Anolis sagrei: one gene and its partner. The protein of the gene in region 2 interacts with the protein of the main gene of each other region in a biochemical or structural test. Links are inferred from orthologs where the notes say so. Each region holds a gene or a part of one and is shown on either strand. Other genes may lie near its edges. The genes, in order: torsin-1A-like and torsin-1A-interacting protein 1.

What was found.
Region 1: the proteins of torsin-1A-interacting protein 1 (region 2) and torsin-1A-like form a complex in vitro, tested with the Homo sapiens proteins (2 studies listed by BioGRID and IntAct). The link is inferred for Anolis sagrei from reciprocal best matches to the Homo sapiens genes TOR1AIP1 and TOR1A.

What each region holds. Positions count from the first base shown.
Region 1 is NC_090031.1:3,865,101-3,874,793, forward strand, and holds the start of torsin-1A-like, read right to left. Parts: upstream 3,690-9,693; 5' UTR 3,647-3,689; coding exon 3,454-3,646; intron 1,007-3,453; coding exon 741-1,006; intron 1-740. Other genes in the region: UBAC1 (ubiquitin-associated domain-containing protein 1), read right to left, coding at 8,342-8,457. UniProt on the Homo sapiens protein: Protein with chaperone functions important for the control of protein folding, processing, stability and localization as well as for the reduction of misfolded protein aggregates.
Region 2 is NC_090024.1:125,724,634-125,734,593, reverse strand, and holds the start of torsin-1A-interacting protein 1, read left to right. Parts: upstream 1-6,165; 5' UTR 6,166-6,559; coding exon 6,560-7,007; intron 7,008-9,960. UniProt on the Homo sapiens protein: Required for nuclear membrane integrity. Induces TOR1A and TOR1B ATPase activity and is required for their location on the nuclear membrane. Binds to A- and B-type lamins. Possible role in membrane attachment and assembly of the nuclear lamina.

The DNA of each region.
Region 1 (9,693 bases), on a different chromosome or scaffold from region 2:
AGAGTGAAAAGAGGGGCAGAAGAGGATTCCATCTTGTTTCCTATGCTTCACTAATAATATAATACATTGTAATATATTGTATATACATATATTTAAACTATAATGCAATACAATATAATAATAATAATACAATATTATAATTATATATTTTATATTACATGTAATATTACTAATAATACTACAATATAATGGAATAGCACAATATAGTAATATCTAATATATATAGTAATATATAGTACAGTGTAATATATAATATTAATATTGTGCTATGATAATAATATAATATATTGTATTTACATTTAACTTGTAAGCCGCTCTGAGTCCCCTTCGGTGTGAGAAGGGCGGCATATAAATGTTGTAAATAAATAAATAATACTGATACTGTATTATGCTAATAATATAATATATTGTATGTATGTATGTGTGTGTGTATATATATATATATATATATATATATATTGTAAGCCCCTCTGAGTCCCCTTCGGGGTGAGAAGGGCAGCATATAAGTGTCGTAAATAAGTCAATAAATAAATAAGGGACAACTGTCCTGTGTGCCTTTAAGGAAACTACATATTATTATTATTATTATTATTATTATTATTATTATTATTATAAATGGGAAGGGATGGCTGTCCTCTGTGTGCCACTGAGGCAACTCCAGACTTTCCTGAGTATAGTTTGCACTAAAACCCCGACCAGCTCTAAAGAATGATGCCCAGATCATTGACTCTGTGCTTTACCTTGTACTGGGTGAGGTTCTGCAGGTGAGGGAAATGCAAGGTGGAGATGAACTGGTGGACATATTTGCTGTTGAGGCCCTCTTTGTAGAGGCTCTCGGCCAGGATTTTGCTGGCAAAGTTCTTCCCGGTCCCGGTCCAGCCGTGCAGGGAAAGCGTCAAGGGCTTCTTGGGGTTGGAGTTGTTCAGAAACCCTGTCACGGCCTTCACTATCACCTTCCTGGCCAAATGCTGCCCAAAGAGCTTCTTGTCCAAATTCTCCTGTAGCACTGCAGACGGGGAGAGAAAAAGACACACCGATCAGCTTTTTTTTTTTTTTTAAATCTTTATTGAGTGTTTTTAGATACATAAAAATTGGTGGAACAATTGGGTAGGGATAGGAAAGTGAGATCAGCTTGACAGGAACAGAAATCCTCAACAAATGAATACACATAGTTATATGTTACGTTAATATTGACTGTTATCATTACTGTCATAATCACAATGATATACACCATGACAATGACAATTTATTTATTTATTTGCGACATTTATATGCTGCCCTTCTCACCCACGAAGGGGACTCAAGAGCGGCTTACAAGTAATACGTAAATACAATATATTATATCATTACCATTGCACAATATTAGTATTATATATTACTATATTGTACTATACCATTAGACTGTAATATTATTAGTAATATTACATGTAATATAAACTATATAATAATAATAATAATAATAATGGTAAAGGTTTCCCCTGACATTAAGTCCAGTCGCTATTATTATTATTGTCATTATTGTGCATACATATTTTATTTTTATATTGTACCACATTATAATATTATAAATATATGTATTTACAATAATGATAATTCAACAATATAAAAATATATACTAAGGAAAAATAACAGCACTATTATATTATTATATTGTATCCTTTTATAATATTATCAATATCATATGTATTCACAATAATGATAATATAACAATATAATAACATATACTAAGGAAAAATAATAGCATTATTATTATTATTATTATTATTATTATTATATTGTACCCCATTATAATATTACCAATCTTTGAAATATAATATTATAATATTATCTATCTTTGAAAGGCAGCAGATCACAGGAGCTGTCTTCATAGACTTGTCAGCAGCCTATGAGACTGTGAACCACCGCCTCCTCCTGAGAAAAATGTATAATATCACAAAGGACGACCACCTCACCCGCCTCATAGGAAACCTGCTACCAAACAGGAGCTTTTTTGTCGAGTTCCAGGGCCAGAGAAGCAGATGGCGGAAACAGAAGAACGGCCTGCCTCAGGGGAGCGTGCTTGCTCCATCCATGTTCAACATCTACACAAATGACCAGCCACTGCCAGAAGGGACAGAGAGCTTCATCTATGCTGATGATCGTGCCATCACCACTCAAGCAGGGAGCTTTGAGATGGTAGAACAGAAATTCTCCAAAGCTCTAGGTGCTCTTACTGCCTATTACAGGGAAAACCACCTGATCCCTAATCCATCTAAAACACAGACATGTGCCTTTCACCTTAAGAACAGACAAGCATCCCGAGCTCTGAGGATTACCTGGGAAGGAATCCCACTGGAGCATTGCAGCACACCCAAGTACCTGGGAGTCCCTCTGGACCGTGCTCTTACCTACAAGAAGCACTGCCTGAACATCAAAAAAAAGTGGGCGCTAGAAACATCATACGAAAGCTGAGTGGCACAACCTGGGGATCACAACCAGACACAGTGAAGACATCTGCCCTTGTGCTGTGCTACTCTGCTGCTGAGTATGCATGCTCAGTGTGGAACACATCTCACCATGCTAAAACAGTGGATGTGGCTCTTAATGAGACATGCCGCATTATCACAGGGTGTCTGTGCCCTACACCACTGGAGACATTACACTGCTTAGCCGGTATTGCACCACCTGACATCCGCCGGGAAGTAGCAGCCAATAGTGAAAGGACCAAGGCAGAGACATCTGCAGCCCATCCCCTGTTTGGGTGTCAGCCTGCATGTCAACGATTTAAATCAAGACATAGTTTTCTAAGACCTACAGAGACACTCGCTGGAACACTCCAGCAAGCGAGAGTCCAAAAGTGGCAGGCTCAAACCCAGAGCCTCAATCCAAGGGTGATACCAGATGAGAGACTCCCCCCTGGTCGAACAGAGGACGGGGCGACTTGGAAGGAACTGAACAGACTGCGCTCTGGCACCACGAGATGCAGAGCCAATCTCAAGAAATGGGGCTACAAAGTGGAATCCTCGGCATGTGAGTGTGGAGAAGAGCAAACCACTGACCACCAGCTGCAATGCACCCTGAGCCCTGCCACATGCACAAGGGAGGACCTTCTTGCAGCAACACCAGAGGCACTCCAAGTGGCCAGATACTGGTCAAAGGACATTTAACCAACTACCAAATTTGCAAAATCTGTGTGTTTTTTTTTCCTTTTTCTTTTTAGTCTGTGTGTTTGTTTTGCTCTGTTAGAATTGTAATACAATGGTTGCTGATGAGACGATAAATAAATAAATATTACCAATATTATAAGTATTCACAATAATGATAATATAACAATATAATAATATATACTAAGGAAGAAATAATAGCACTATTCTAATAGTGACAATATAAGCATGACATTATTATGTTAATACAGTTCCCACTTTCTGAGGTGACAGCCCCTCAGGCAGCCAGGTAGGCCTCTGCCTGACTGACCTGGCTGGACTTGGGCGCCGTCCCCTTGGTGGCAGCAGTGGGCGAAGAGGCAGTAGAGGCGCGGGTAGGAGAGGAAGCCCGTGAAGGCGGAGGCGGCGGCGCCGGCCAGGGCCAGGCTCAGGCTCAAGGGCTCCACTGCCCCGGCCAGGCCCGCCGACAAGACCCACGTCGCCAGCCACACCCGCCACCGCATCGCCTCACGACGGGCACTTCCGCTCTACTGGCGGCGGAGGGCCCTCAGGGAAGGCGCTTCCGGTCCCGCTGCCGCCATCTTGGGGCCGGGCGGGAGTTCAACGCCGCAGCGACGGGATTGGCCCGCGGGGAGGAGGGGGGCGTGGCTTAAACGAGACTCACGGCCTATCCCATTCCAGCAGCACGAAGGGGCGGGGCCTATTCCCAAACACACTGCCTTTCCCATTCTAGCACCTCTAATGGGCGGAGCGAGGGGCGTGGCCTATTCCTCAATACAAACCCATTCTAGTCTCCCACATGGGCTGAGCGAGGGGCGTGGCCTATTACTTGATAGTCTTTCCCATTCTAGCCACACCAATGGGCGGAGCAAGGGGCGGGACCTATTGATTGATAGACACTGCCTTTCCTATTCTAGCCACACCAGTGGGCGGAGCTTGGGGCGTGGCCTATTGCTTGATAGACACTGCCTTTCCCATTCTAGCCACACCAGTGGGCGGAGCGAGGGGCGTGGCCTATTGCTTAATAGACACTGCCTTTCCCATTCTAGCCACACCAGTGGGTGGGGCGAGGGGGCGGGGCCTAATGCTTAATACACCATTCCCATTCTAGTAACCCTAATGGGCGGAGCGAAGGGCGTGGCCTATTGTTCGATAGACACTGCCTTTTCCATTCTAGCCATACCAGTGGGCGGAGCGAGGGGCGTGGCCTAACGCTTAATACACTGCTGTTCCCGTTCTAGCTACCCCCTAATGGGCGGAGCGAGGGGCGTGGCCTATTCCTCAACACACCCAGCCTATCCCATTCTAGCTACCCCCTAATGGGCGGAGCGAGGGGCGTGGCTTATTTAATAATAATGCACTTTATTATACTTTGGATACACACTGCCCTGCCTATTCAATCTACCTTTCCCAATTCTATATGCTATGATAATAAAATAATATAGTATAATATAATATATAGTATATATATATACTGTGTATACAACATAATACTAATAATTATATGTATATATTACATGTATGATTAATATGTATATATATACTGTATTTAATATAATACTAATAATATATTATAATTATGTATATATATACATATGTATTACATGTATTATTAATAATGTTTTTATATATACTGTGTATACAATATAATACAAATAATATGATATTATAATTATATATATATTACATGTATTATTAATATTTATATATATACTGTGTATACAATATAATACTAATAATATATTATAATTATATATTACATGTATTATTATTTATTTATTTATTTATTTATTTATTAATGCGCTTGTATACCGCTAATATCTCAGCCTAAATCGGCGACTCATTGCGGTTTACAACACTTAAAAAACAACAATATTCAGTTTAAAAGCATAAAACACATATCCAATACAAATTATTATTAATAATATTTATATATATACTGTGTATACAATATAATACTAATAATATCACATTATAATTATATGTATATATTACATCTATTATTAATAATATGTATATATACTGTGTATACAACATACTAATAATATGATATAATATTTGTATATATTACATGTATTATTAATAATATGTATATATATAGTGTATACAATATGCTACTAATATGGTATTCTAATTATATATATATTACATGTATTATTAATAATATTTATAAGATTATAATGTAATGCAATATACTACTAATAATAATTCATTATATTTCTATATTTTATATTACATGTTATATTATTAATAATATTACAATATAATGGTATAATACAGTATACAAATATATAATGCTGATATTGTGCTCTGCTAATAATATAATATATTGTATGCATATATATCTTGTAAGCCACTCCGAGTCCCCTTTAGGATGAGAAGGGCGGCATAGAAATGTCGTAAATAAATCATATAATACTGCCCCTCCATTGAAACCTATGGGGCATCTCTGCCTCTGGAAAATCCTGCAAATCTCTTGGGAAGACAAGTGGACAAACATCAGCGTGCTGGAAGAAGCAAAGACCACCAGCATCGAAGCAATGGTCCTCCGTCATCAACTCTGCTGGACCGGCCACATTGTCTGGATATCTGACCACCGTCTCCTAAAACAGTTGCTCTACTCCGAACGCAAGAATGGAAAACAGAATGTTGGAGGACAGGAAAAGAGATTGAAAGATGGGCTCAAAGCCAACCTTAAAAACTCTGGCATAGACACTGAGAACTGGGAAGCCCTGGCCCTTGAGTGCTCCAGCTGGAGGTCAGCTGGGACCAGCAGTGCTGCAGAATTGGAAGAGGCACAAATGAAGGGCGAAAGAGAGATACATGCCAAGAGGAAGGCACGTCAAGCCAACCCCAACCAGGACGGCCTTCCACCTGGAAACCGATGCCCTCACTGCAGGAGAACATGTGGGTCAAGAATAGGGCTCCACAGTCCCCTATGGCCCCACTGCCAGAATGCTACACTTGGAGGACCATCATCCTCAGACTACGAGGGATCGCCTAAGTAAAGTAAGAAGTAAGTATGGGGCATCTCTCTGTCCAGGATGTGCAATCCTTTGCCGCCCTCCGGGGGACACATTGAGCATTGCGCCCCCTTGGTATTGTGCACCTCTATTGACGCCTATGGGGTATCTCTCTGCCCAGGACTACTATGTGTAATACTATGTGGACACACCGAGCATTGCGCCCTCTTGCTAATTTTAAACCAGATTTATTCCTTTCCCTATTTGGTTTTAAAGATATTTTCCCACTTAATAACTGAGCCTAGGGGGGTGCTGCATTTCTATTTCTATTTTAATGGGGTTTTTTTTTAAAAAAAATTAATAGTCCTAAATTTAATTGCAAGAGTTTAATGTATTTTAACAGCTTTTTCATCGTAGTCCTGTATTTAATTCTGTTTTTGAGGTTTATTATGTCTTAGGTTTTAATTTACACATGGTAAATTAAATTATTATTAGTAGTAGTAAAAAGCAAAATATTATTATTAACGACAATCTGCTTTTAATCATAGAATAATAATAATAATAAGCTTTGCTTTTAATAATTCCATCTCTTCTAAGAGAGGAAAAAGGATGATGACGACATTAATAACTTTTAACTCTCTTAGAATAATAATTAAAATAATAGTTTTTTAAAAGTAGGATATTATTTATTTATTTATGACATTTATATGCCGCCCTTCTCACCCCGAAGGGGACTCAGAGCAGCTTACAAGTAATATGTAAATAAAAAACATTATATTATTATAATAGCATAATATTAGTATTACAGATTACTACGTTGTACTATACCATTATATTGTAATAATAATAATAATAATAATATCCCTGCTTTTTATTTATTTATGAAATTTATATGCCGCCAGTCTCATCCTGAAGGGGACTCAGAGTAGCTTACAAGGTATATATACATACAATATACTATTATATTATCGACATAGTACAACATCAGTATTAAATATTACTCTATTGTACTATACCATTATATTGTATTATTAGTAATATTACATGTAATATAAATTTATAATTAAATTATTATTAGTATTATATTGCATTACATTATAATATTATAAATATTATCTGTATAGACAATATATTATATTACACTGTATTATATTAGAATAGCACAGGAGACAAGGTGGAAGTGTCCCCTGGACCCCTCTCTCTTTTACTCTTGGAATAATAATAATAATAATAATACTTTATTTCATCAGTTCTAAGGCACTCACTAATTTCAGTATCATCAAAACAGAAAAAAGCTGTATTTCTGTTTCCAAAAGTACCTGTGAATCTCATTTTTTGGAGATGTTTATATTGGAATAAATAAGGGCTTCTTAGTATCAGTGGTGCAGCAGATTAAACTAATGAGCTGATGAAATAGTTGTCCTAAAGGTCTGTAGTTCAAATCCAGAGAGTAGGGTGAGCTCCCACTGTTAGCCCCAGCTTCTGCCAACCTAGCAGTTTGAAAACATGTAAATGGGAGTAGATGGAATAGGTACTGCTCCGGCAGGAAGGTAACGGCGCTCCATGCAGTCCTGCCAGTGGAGGTGTCTATGGACAACGCCGGCTCTTCGTCTTAGAGATGAGCACCAACCCCCAGAGGTAAAGGGGGAAACCTTTACCTTTTTAGAATTGATGAAATAACAACAATAATAAATGTATTCCTGGCTTCTCCCTGTGACTTGATCCTGTACGAGGGGTTAATTCACTCCTTTGTTCCCCATTTAATAACATAGTAATAATAATAATAAAACAACGCACACAAAAATCCGGTTTTAAAAAGCCTTCTGCATTTTCAACACAGACACAGCTGAAGAAGACATTCCAAATACTGCCTGCTTTTAATCGATCCCCAAACGGAACTGGCTTGAACGCCGACGACGTGGCCACGCTCCAAGAGTTTAAAAGCGTGGCCCTGAATTGGGATGTATAGTACAACCAGGGCCTCCTCCGTTGAACTATGAATCCCAAAAAGATCTACTTTTTTTCGGGCCCTTTTCTGCTCAAAGGAAAATGAAAGCCACACTGCAAACGGAAACAAAAAGTTCGTAATGGAGGGAGAGGGATAAAATAATTATCGTAATAATAATAATAATAATGACACACCCAACACACGGATTTCTGCCCTCCCCCAAAAGGAGGGAAAGTCCTTCAAAAATGGCACAGCGGATATGAATCGGGCTTTTCCGCCCTCGGTTCCTACGTGCGGTTCAACGTCTGGAAGATGCGGGAGATTTGCAGCATGACGGGCCCCGTTTCGGGGTCGTTCATCCATTGCGTGCTGTTCAACGGGTTTTCCAGCATGTCTTCAAAGGCTGCGGTGAGAGAAAGGCTTGACTTATTATTATTAATATCATCATCATTATTAGGTTTTATCATATTATAAGCTGAACATGAGTCAAGAGTGTGATGCTGCAGCAAAAAAGGCCAATGCGATCCTGAGCTGCATCAACACAAATATATAATATAGGACATAGATGACTGACACCAGGCTTGAGTTGTTATTATTATTATTATTATTATTATCATCATTAGGTCTTATCATATTATAAACTGAACATGAGTCAAAAGTGTGATGCTGCAGCTAAAAAGGCCAATGCAATCCTAAACTGCGTCAATACAAATATATAATACAAGATATAGATGACTGACACCAGACTTATTATTATCATTATTATTATCATTATTCTAAATATAAATGTCGTAAATAAATAAATAAAATATATAATTATTACACCTTAGCATATTACAAGCTGGACATGAGTTGAGAGTGTGATGCTGCAGCCAAAAAGGCCAATGCGATCCTAAGCTGCATCAATACAAATATATAATAATACAAGATATAGATGACTGACACCTGGCTTGACTTATTATTATTACCACCATTATTATGATTTGGCATATTACAAGCTGAACATGAGTCAAGAGTGTGATGCTGCAGCCAAAAAGGCCAATGCGATCCTGAGCTGCATCAATACAAATATATAATAACACAAGACATAGATGACTGACACCAGGCTTGACTTATTATCATCATCAACATTATTATTATTATTATAAATATAAACGTCATAAATAAATAAATATTACGTCTTAGTGTATTACAAGCTGAACGTGAGTCAAAAGTGTGATGCTGCAGCTAAAAAGGCCAATGCGATGCTAGGCTCCATCAATACAAATCGATAATATAGGACATAGATGACTGACATCGGGCTTGAAACATAATAATAATATAATGATAATAGTAATAATGATAGATGTAGGTTCCAGCAATACACTATTATTATTATTATTATTATTATTATTATTATTATTTATTAATAGCATGTCTTAGTATACAACAAGCTAAACATCAAGAGTATGATGCTGCAGCAAAGGCCAATGCCATCCTAAACTGCATCAATACAAATACATAATTTAGGATATACATAACTGACACCTGGCATGACAATAATAATAATAATAATAATAATAATTGTTATTATTATTATTATTATTATTATTATTCTAGGCTCCATCAATACAATTATCGTTATTATTATTTCTTGGCA
Region 2 (9,960 bases):
TTAAGTATTTTCTGTTGGTCATGGGGGTTGTGTGTGGGAAGTTTGCCTCAATTCTGTCATTTGTGGGTTTCAGAATGCTCTTTAATTGTAGTGAACTATAAATCCCAGTAAATACAAATCCCAAATGTCAAGGTCTGTTTCCTCCAAACTCCATCTGTGTTCATATTTAGGCATATGGAATTTTTGTGTCAAGTTTGGTCCAGATCCATCATTGTTTGAGTCCACAGTGATCTCTGGATGTAGGTGAACTACAACTCCAAAACCAAAGGACACTGTCCACCAAACCCTTCCAGTATTTTCTGTTGGTCATGGGAGAACTGCGTACCAAGTTTGCTTCAATTCCATCGTTGGTGGGGTTCAGAATGCTCTTTGATTGCAGGTGAACTATAAATCCCAGCAACTACCACTCCCAAATGTCAAGATTCTATTTCCCCCAAACTCCACCAGTGTTCCCATTTGGGCATATTGAGTATTCATGCCAAGTTTTGTCCAGATCCATCATTGTTTGAGTCCACAGTGCTCTCTGGATGTAGGTTAACTACAACTCCCAAACTCAAGGTCAATGCCCACCAAACCCTTCCAGTGTGTTCCGTTTATTTATTTATTTATTATTTGCTTTATTTCTATACCGTGTTTCTCAACCTAATTAGGCGACTCAATGCGGTTTTCCGCATTTCCGTTGGTCATGGGAGAACTGTGTGCCAAGTTTGGTTCAATTCCATCATTAGTGGGGTTCAGAATGCTCTTTGATTGTAGGTGAACTATAAATCCCAGCAATGACAACTCCCAAATGACAAAATCAATGTTTTTGAGTGAAGGACGTACATTGGGTTGTTAGGTGTCCTGTGTCCAAATTTGGTGTCAATTTGTCCAGTGGTTTTTGAGTTCTGTTAATCCCACAAATGAACATTACATTTTTATTTATATAGACTAGCCGTCCCCTGCCACGCGTTGCTGTGGCCCACTCTGATGGTCATGGGGGTTCTGTGTGGGAGGTTTGGCCCAATTCTGTTGTTGGTGGGATTCAGAATGCTCTGTGATTGTAGGTGAACTACAAATCCCAGCAACTACAACTCCCAAATGACAAAATCAATTTTTTGAGTGAAGGACATACATTGGGTTGTTAGGTGTCTTGTATCCAAATTTGGTGTCAATTCGTCCAGTGGTTTTTGAGTTCTGTTAATTCCACAAATGAACATTACATTTTTATTTATATAGATTATTGTTGTTGTTGTATTGTCAAAAGCTTCAGTGGGTTGCTGTAAGTTTTCCGGGCTGTCTGGCCATGTTCCAGAAGCATTCTCTCCTGAAGGGTAGTCCTCAGAGATCAGGATGCTTGTCTGTTCTTAAGATGAAAAGCACATGTCTGTGTTTTAGATGGGTTAGGGATCAGCTGGTTTTCCCTGTAATAGGCAGTAAGAGCACCTAGAGCAGTGGTTCTCAACCTGGGGTCCCTAGATGTTTTTAGCCTTCAACTCCCAGAAATCCTAACAGCTGGTAAACTGGCTGGGATTTCTGGGAGTTGTAGGCCAAAAACATCTGGGGACCCCAGGTTGAGAACCACTGACTTAGAGCTTCGGATAGCTTCTGTTCAACCATCTCAAAGCTCCCTGCTTGAGCGGTAATGGCACGATCATCAGCATAGATGAAACTTTCTGTCCCTTCTGGTAGTGGCTGGTCATTTGTGTAGATATTGAACATGGATGGAGCAAGCACGCTCCCCTGAGGCAGGCCGTCCTTCTGTTTCCGCCATCTGCTTCTCTAGCCCTGGAATTCAACAAAAAAGCTCCTGTTTTGTAGCAGATTTCCTATGAGGTGGGTGAAGTGGTAATCCTTTGTGATATTATACATTTTTGTCAGGAGGAGGCGGTGGTTTACAGTATCATAAGACGCTGACAGGTCTATGAAGACAGCTCTTGTGATCTGCTGTCTTTCAAAGCCATCATGGTCTACTGCATGAAAAACATGCTGAAGGCTACTCAGTTAAGCTATGACTAATTGTAGTAATGTCCCAAAGTACATTTACAGTACTCATCCTAGCTGCTGAACCATGCTATTTTAAATTTAAAACCACTTAAATTAGAGCATAAGCTCATAATTATTTTTAAATGCAGGCCTCTTGACATCTGTTTACAGAACTGTTTGGATATCATGGAATGTGCATGACCACTCTCAGAGCTAAAGAGAAAGTGCTGCCCATTCATGTGATGATGACAAATAGTGTTGCTGTCATGAATAAAATATAGTGCCACAATGGTAACACAAGGGGAATCTTGATGAATCAGAACAATCTAGGTCAATATCAAGTTTTCCACAGGAGGTTACTGGATACTCCAGGGAAGCTCACAACACAAAACAATGGCCTCCATTAGTTGTCATTCCTCCACTAACTAGCATTAAGAAGCACGCTACCTCTGACTCTAGAGGCAATGTTTTACCATCATAACTAACAGCTATCGATAGCCTGAGTACTCTTTTGCAAAAATGTCTAATCTATTACATTCTCGATGGATTTGTCTAATTGACAAGTTTCATGGTTGCAGCTCGCAGAACCATACACAAGACAAAGAGTAGGCTAACCAGTTTTCTCACTGACCAAATGTAAGAGAGCCACATATCTCTTTAATTAGAGTTGTGTGCGGAACCGTTTTCCTTTGTTTCATCCATTCTTTTGTTACTTCGTTACCTTCGGGAGCATGTAATGGGAAGCCCACTCCTGGCAGGAAAATCAGCTCGGCACAAAAGCAAGCAGGAGCCAATCCCGGCTCCTTGCCTGCTTTTCGTGAGTATGTGGCGCTCCATGCCTTCTTGCCTTGGAAAGAGAGTGCATGTGTGTGTGGCATGCAGGCCAGCTTGCAGCCAAGCACCTCCTCTAGAGTAAGAATGAGAAGTTACCTGTTGTCTCCTTGCTTTGGAAACAGGGTGCATGTATGTGTGGCATGCACACCCAGAAAGTCCACACCCCTGCCTGCACCCAAGTGCCTCCTCTAGAGTAAGAATGAGAACTTGCCTAGGAAAGAGTGTGTGCGTGTGTATGGTTGCCGAAATCACCTGTGCCTGCTTGCAGCCAAGCACCTCCTCTCGAATAGATAATAAGCCTCCTTAAAGCGTGCGCAGAACACACCTGTCTGCAGCTGAGTGCATCTCCTCTAGAGTAAAAGAACTTAAATGTCTAAAATGACGGGAATGGGAGCCTGGGAAGCACTCCCCCTCCCCCCAAAATGGGCCGATAGAAAATTGATCTTTTGGCAGCCAACATGAAAACAAATGTCTACCATCCCGATTTTGGTTGAAAGCAGATAATGTGGGTTATCTGCATGGATAATCCGGATTATAAGGCAGCGTAGAGGGGTCCACAGTTCTCTGGAAACGGGTCTAGGGCCCCATCTACACTGCTATATAAAATCCATATTATCTGTTTTGAATGGATTTATATTAGTCTACATTGCCATATAATCCAATTTAAAGCAGATATTCTGGATTTTATATGGCAGCATAGATGGGGCCTCAGACCACTTCTATATTGCCATATAGCCAGATTGTCAATGCAGATAATCCATGTTATCTGATTTGAACTGGATTACCTGAGTCTACACTGCTGTACAATGAGTTCAAAGAAGATAATCTGGATTTTATATGGAAGTGTGGGGCCTGAGTGACTACAGATAATGGACTTTAACATTCAAGTTATGGCCAAGCTTGCTGAAATGAAAGTGCATATCCTCTACTTGTTGTGTATAGTTGCCTGCCTTCTTGTTGCCATGAAAAATTTTCACAAGAACAAACGCAGGGCCAGGCCCGTAGCCAGGATTTCGTTTCGGGGGGGGGGGGGGGGGCTGATTTTTTTTTCAGGGGGGGTTTCAGGGGGAGGGCTGAGTTTCAGGGGGGGGGGGCTGAGTCTGAGTGAAAGAGGATGTACCCTAGCAAACCTTTTGTATCATTACCCCAATACCCCCATGCATATGGGATATATTGAGTATGGTGATCAGATCATGATATGAATAAACATAACAGTTTAAATAATGCACCAATAAGGCCTTTTCGCGAACCACCATGAAAATTTCAGGGGGGGGGCTGAAGCCCCCCGAGCCCCCCCCCCCCTCCGGCTACATGCCTGCGCAGGGCCCTTCCACACAGCCACATAACCCTGAATATCAAGGCAGATAATCTCACAAAACCTGCCTTGAACAGGGTTATCTGAGTCCGCACTGTCATATAATCCAGTTCAAAGCAGATGTGGGATTTAATTCAGCTGTGTGGAAGGGGCCCTTGAACATTAAGGCAGATATCTGCTTGGAACTGGATTATCTGAGTCCGGACTGCCATATATCCCAGTTCAATGTGGATTTTATACAGGTGGGTGGAATGCTCAAAGACAAGACCCATGATTCGATTTCATTCCTTATTCATAGGACCCTTCCCCACAGCCCTATATCCCAAAACATCAAGGCAGGAAATCCCACATATCTTGGGTGTGGACTCAGATAACCCATTTCAAAGCAGATATTGTGGGTTTTTCTGCCTTGATATTCTGGGCTACAGGGATGTGTGGAAGGGCCCTGAGTCCCCACTGCCATATATATATATATACTAGCCGTCCCCTGCCATGCGTCGCTGTGGCCCACATGGGGGTTCAGTGTGGGAGGTTTGGCCCATTTCTATCATTGGTGGGGTTCAGAATGCTCTGTGATTGTAGGTGAACTATAAATCCCAGCAACTACAACTCCCAAATGTCAAGATTCTATTTTCCCCAAACTCCACCAATGTTCACATTTGGGCATATTGAGTATTCGTGCCAAGTTTGGTCCAGATCAATCGTTTTTTGAGTCCACAGTGTTCTCTGAATGTAGGTGAACTACAACTCCAAAACCAAAGGACACTGCCCACCAAACCCTTCCAGTATTTTCTCTTGGTCATGGGAGTTCTGTGTGCCAAATTTGGTTCAATTCCATCGTTGATGGGGTTCAGAATGCTCTTTGATTGTAGGTAAACTATAAATCCCAGCAACTACAACTCCCAAATGACAAAATCAAAAAAAAAATTGAGTGAAGGACATACATTGGGTTGTTAGGTGTATGCTGTCCAAATTTGGTGTCAATTGGCCCACTGGTTTTTGATTTCTGTTAATCCCACAAATGAACATTACATTTTTATTTATTTATTTATTTATGTATATAGATAGATTAGATAGATAGATTAGATAGATAGATTAGATCAGTGGTTCCCAACCTTCGTAATGCTGCGACCCCTTAATGCAGTTCCTCATGTTGTGGTGACTCCCAACCACATTTTTGTTGCGATTTCATACCTGTAATTTTGCTACTGTTATGAATCATAATGTAAATATCCGATATGTAGAATGTATTTTTCATTCACTGGACCAAATTCGGCACAAATACTCAATACGCCTAAATTTGAATACTGGTGGGGTTGGGGGATTTATTTTGTCATTTGGGAGTTGTAGTTGCTGGGGTTTATGGTTCATTTAAATTAAAAGAGCATTGTGAACTCCACCAAAGATGCAATTGAACCAGACATGGCACACAGAACTCCCATGAGAGAAACAGAAAATACTGGAAGGGTTTGGTGGGCATTGACCTTGAGTTTGGGAGCTGTAGTTCACCTATATCCAAAGAGCACTGTGAACTCAAACAATGATGGATCTGGACCAAACTTGGCACAAATAATCAATATACCCAAATGTGAACACTGGTGGAGTTTGGAGAAAATAGACCTTGACATTTGGGAGTTGTAGTTGCTGGGATTTATAGTTCACCTGCAATCAAAGAGCATTTTGAAGCCCACCCATGATACAATTCAGCCAAACTTCCCAGACAGAACCCCCATGATCAACAGAATATACTGTGTTTTCTGATGGTCTTTGGCGACCCCTCTGACACCCCCTCGCGACACTCCTGGGGGTCCCGACCCCCAGGTTGAGAAACATTGGAATAGATAGATAGATTAGATAGATAGATTAGATAGATAGACAGATTAGATAGATTGAAAGATAAGCATAGATAGATAAGGATAGATAGATAAAGATAGATAGATAGATAGAGATAGATTCCTGCTGCTGCTGCTGCCCTGGGAGCCTGGCCTGCAGATGGAGGCGAGGGTGCTTTAAATCTCTCCCTTCCCTGATGACCTATTTTCTCCCACAAGCAGCTGATGGGCTGGACTCCGGGCTTGTTTTCTCATTTGCTGACTCGAAGGCCGGGAATGCTTCGGGGACCGGCCGGGCCTTTCTTTCACTTGAGGGCACTTTCTCATCTTGGCAACAACAACCAACGCAACCCCTACGATGTAGCAGGACCCCAGGGAAGCGGAGGCGGGAGCAGCTGCGCTCTGAAAGCCGGAGAGGAGCCCCTTTGCCTGGCTAAGGGACCCTGCCGAGGCTCCGAAGGCCTTTGAAGGGGGAGAGGCGCCCTGCTGAGGAAGACTGGGCTGAATATTAGGAAGAAGGAAAAGGGGGTGCTCTGTAACTGAGCCAACAAAAGGCAAGCCGCGCAGGCGCAGAAGGGAGACTAGACTGAGCGGCGCGTGGGCGGGGCCCGCCATGCACGCGGGCGGGGAGGGGAGGCTCTTCGGTCACGTGACCCCCAGGCGGCCTCTGAGGGAAAGCGCTTCCCAAAATGGCCGCGGGAGCAACAGCGCTGTCAACTTCCGGCCCCGGACGTCGACTCCTTCCTCTCCTCGGCCGAGGCGGGAAGTGAGGTTCTCCGAAGAAGTGCTGGAGCTCTCGGCGGAAGGGCCTTTTGCCACTCCGCTGGGGAAGCGGGCGAAGATGAAGCCGAGGCCGGAGAGGGGAGAGGGCCTGGAGGAGGAGGAGGAGGAGGACGCGCCCGCCTACCGCCTGCGCTCTTCCCGCCAGAAACCCTCCACGCCGTACAGGAGGGCCGAAGATCAGGATGAGGCCGAGGAGCAGCAGCCCCAGCCCCAGGAAGAGTACCAGGAGGAGGAGGAGGAGGAAGGCGGCTTCTCAGAAGGCGAGATATTCCCTCACCGTAAGTACTGCCCGCTTGGTCTTTATTTACGACATTTATAGTCCGCCTTTCTCAACCATACCGTGACTCAAGGCGAGATATTTATTATTTATTATTATTATTAACTTTATTAATAATAAAGGATTGGCAATATGGACGACGAACTGGATCACGTTTTTAGTTAAGAGCTGAACTGGATTGGTATTGATGTATGAATTGTGTTTTATGTTTTTATGCTTTTAACTGTATATTGTTGACTGTTATATTATGCTGTAAACCGCGTTGAGTCGCTGGCTAGGCTGAGAAACGGCGGTATATAAGTATTTAAATAAATAAATAAATAAATAAATTTATACCCCGCTAACATCTCCTGAGGAGAAAATGTGGAGGCCGTGACAGACTTTGTATTTCTAGGCGCAAAGATTACTGCAGATGCAGACTGTGGCCAGGAAATCAGAAGACGCTTACTTCTTGGGAGGAGAGCAATGTCCAGTCTCGATAAAATAGTGAAGAGTAGAGACATCACACTGGCAACAAAGATCCGCATAGTCAAAGCCATGCTATTCCCTGTAGTCACCTACGGATGTGAGAGCTGGACCTTAGGGAAGGCTGAGTGAGGGAAGATCGATGCTTTTGAACTGTGGTGTTGGAGGAAAGTGCTGAGAGTGCCTTGGACTGCGAGAAGATCCAACCAGTCCATCCTCCAGGAAATAAAACCTGACTGCTCATTGGAGGGAAGGATACTAGAGACAAAGTTGAAGTACTTTGGCCACATCATGAGGAGACAGCAAAGCCTAGAGAAGACAATTATGCTGGGGAAAGTGGAAGGTAAAAGGAAGAGGGGCCGACCAAGGGCAAGATGGATGGATGGCATCCTTAAAGTGACTGGACTGACCTTGAAGGAGCTGGGGGTGGTGACGGCCGACGGAGCTCTGGCGTGGGCTGGTCCATGAGGTCACGAAGAGTCGGAGACGACTGAACGAATGAACAACAAGTACTGCCCGTTTGGTCTTTATTTACGACATTTATAGTCCGCCTTTCTCAACCATACCGTGACTCAAGGCGGGTTATTTATTATTGTTATTAACTTTATTTGTACCTCGCTAACATCTCCCGAAGGTCTCGATGCGGCTTACAAAGGCCAAGGCCTCAATAAAACAACAATATAACAAATACACATAAACCAAAAGCAAATCAAAACATTAAGCAATAACAGTAAGCAATAAAAACAGTACACCGTGGCACAATAAAATCTAGGCCGGGCCAAATGTGATGGGTACAGATTAAAAAGTGCTGAGTATGCTGAGTGAGATGTAAGGATTTTTGAATAAGCGCACTGTGCGGACAATCTTAGTCTCTAATAAAGTACTTCTGGGACGTGTTACAGATTGGCACGATTTGATGCCATACATTCATAAAAGTGCGATTAAAAACATCAACGTAACAATATAAAACATATGTAAAAACCATTAAAACATGTAGTCACCAATGCCATCTTGTTAAAATGGTTTTCCTGGCCATTCCATGTTCATCATTCATAGTTTCATGTTATCTTTTCCTCTGCATTCTCAAAAACTTGCTCAAAGAGCCAAGATTTTAGCTTTTTTCGGAAAGTCAGGAGGGAGGAGGACTATCTAATATCCCTGAGGAGAGAATTCCATAGCCGGGGAGGCCACCACTGAGAAGGCTGTGTCCCTCGTTCCCGCCAATCGTGCTTGCGATGTAGGCGGGATCGAGAGCAGGGCCTCCCCAGACAATCTTAAGCTTCTAGATCAGGGGTCCTCAAACTAAGGCCCGGGAGCCGAATGCGGCCCTCCAAGGTAATTTATCCAGCCCTCGCTTAAGGTCAACCTAAGTCTGAAACGACTTGAAAGCACACAACAACAGCAACAGCAACAATCCTATCTCATCAGCCAAAAGCAGACCCACACTTCTCATTGAAATAGTAATAAGTTTATATTTGTTAAGATTGCTCCTCATTTTAATTATTGTATTGTTTTTAAGTAATCTTTGCACTACAAATACGATATGTGTAGTGTGCATAGGAATTCATTCATGTTTTTTTCAAATTATAATCCGGCCCTCCAACAGTTTGAGGGACTGTGACCTGGCCCTCTGTTTAAAAAGTTTGTGGACCCCTGTCCTAGATGCTTCATAAGGAGAGATACGTTTGGTCAGGTAAGCTGGACCAGAACCGTTTAGGGCTTTATAGGCTAAAGCCAGCACTTTGAATTGTGCTTGGTAGCAAATTGGCAGCCAGTGGAGCTGACGCAACAGAGGAGTTGTGTACTCCCTGAGCACCACTCCTATTAGTATCCTGGAGGCCATCCGTTGGATCATTTGAAGCTTCCGAACAGTCTTCAAAGGCAACCCCATGTAGAGCGCATTGCTGTAGTCTATATGGGATGTAACCAGAGTGTGGACCACTGTGGTCAAGTCAGACTTCCCAAGGTATGGGTGCAGCTGGCGCACAACTTTTAACTGTGCTAATGCTCCCCTGGTCACTGCCAAAATCTGAGGTTCTAGGCTCAGCGATTAATCCATGATCACACCCAAGCTGCAAACCTGCGTCTTCAGGGGGAGTGTAACCCCATCCAACACAGGCTGTAACCCTATGCCCTGTTCGGCCTTTCGACTGACCAGGAGTACATCTGTCTTGTCTGGATTCAATTTCAATTTGTTCGCCCTCTTACCACCTTATCACATTGAGAACTTTTCCCCTGGTAGGGCATTTCAGCCCCTTGTCAAGTATAGAGAGGCATGGAGCTCATCACACAATCCAGGGTTGAAAAGAGGCAGAAATATCCTGAAAGGAGGGAACTTTAAACACAGGGCAGCAATCATCTTCAGAGCTCCTACCTTTTAAACCCCTGTGCCGGCAGGACTGAAGACCGACAGGTCGCAGGTTCGAATCCGGGGAGAGGTGGATGAGCTCCCTCTATCAGCTCCAGCTCCTCATGCGGGGACATGAGAG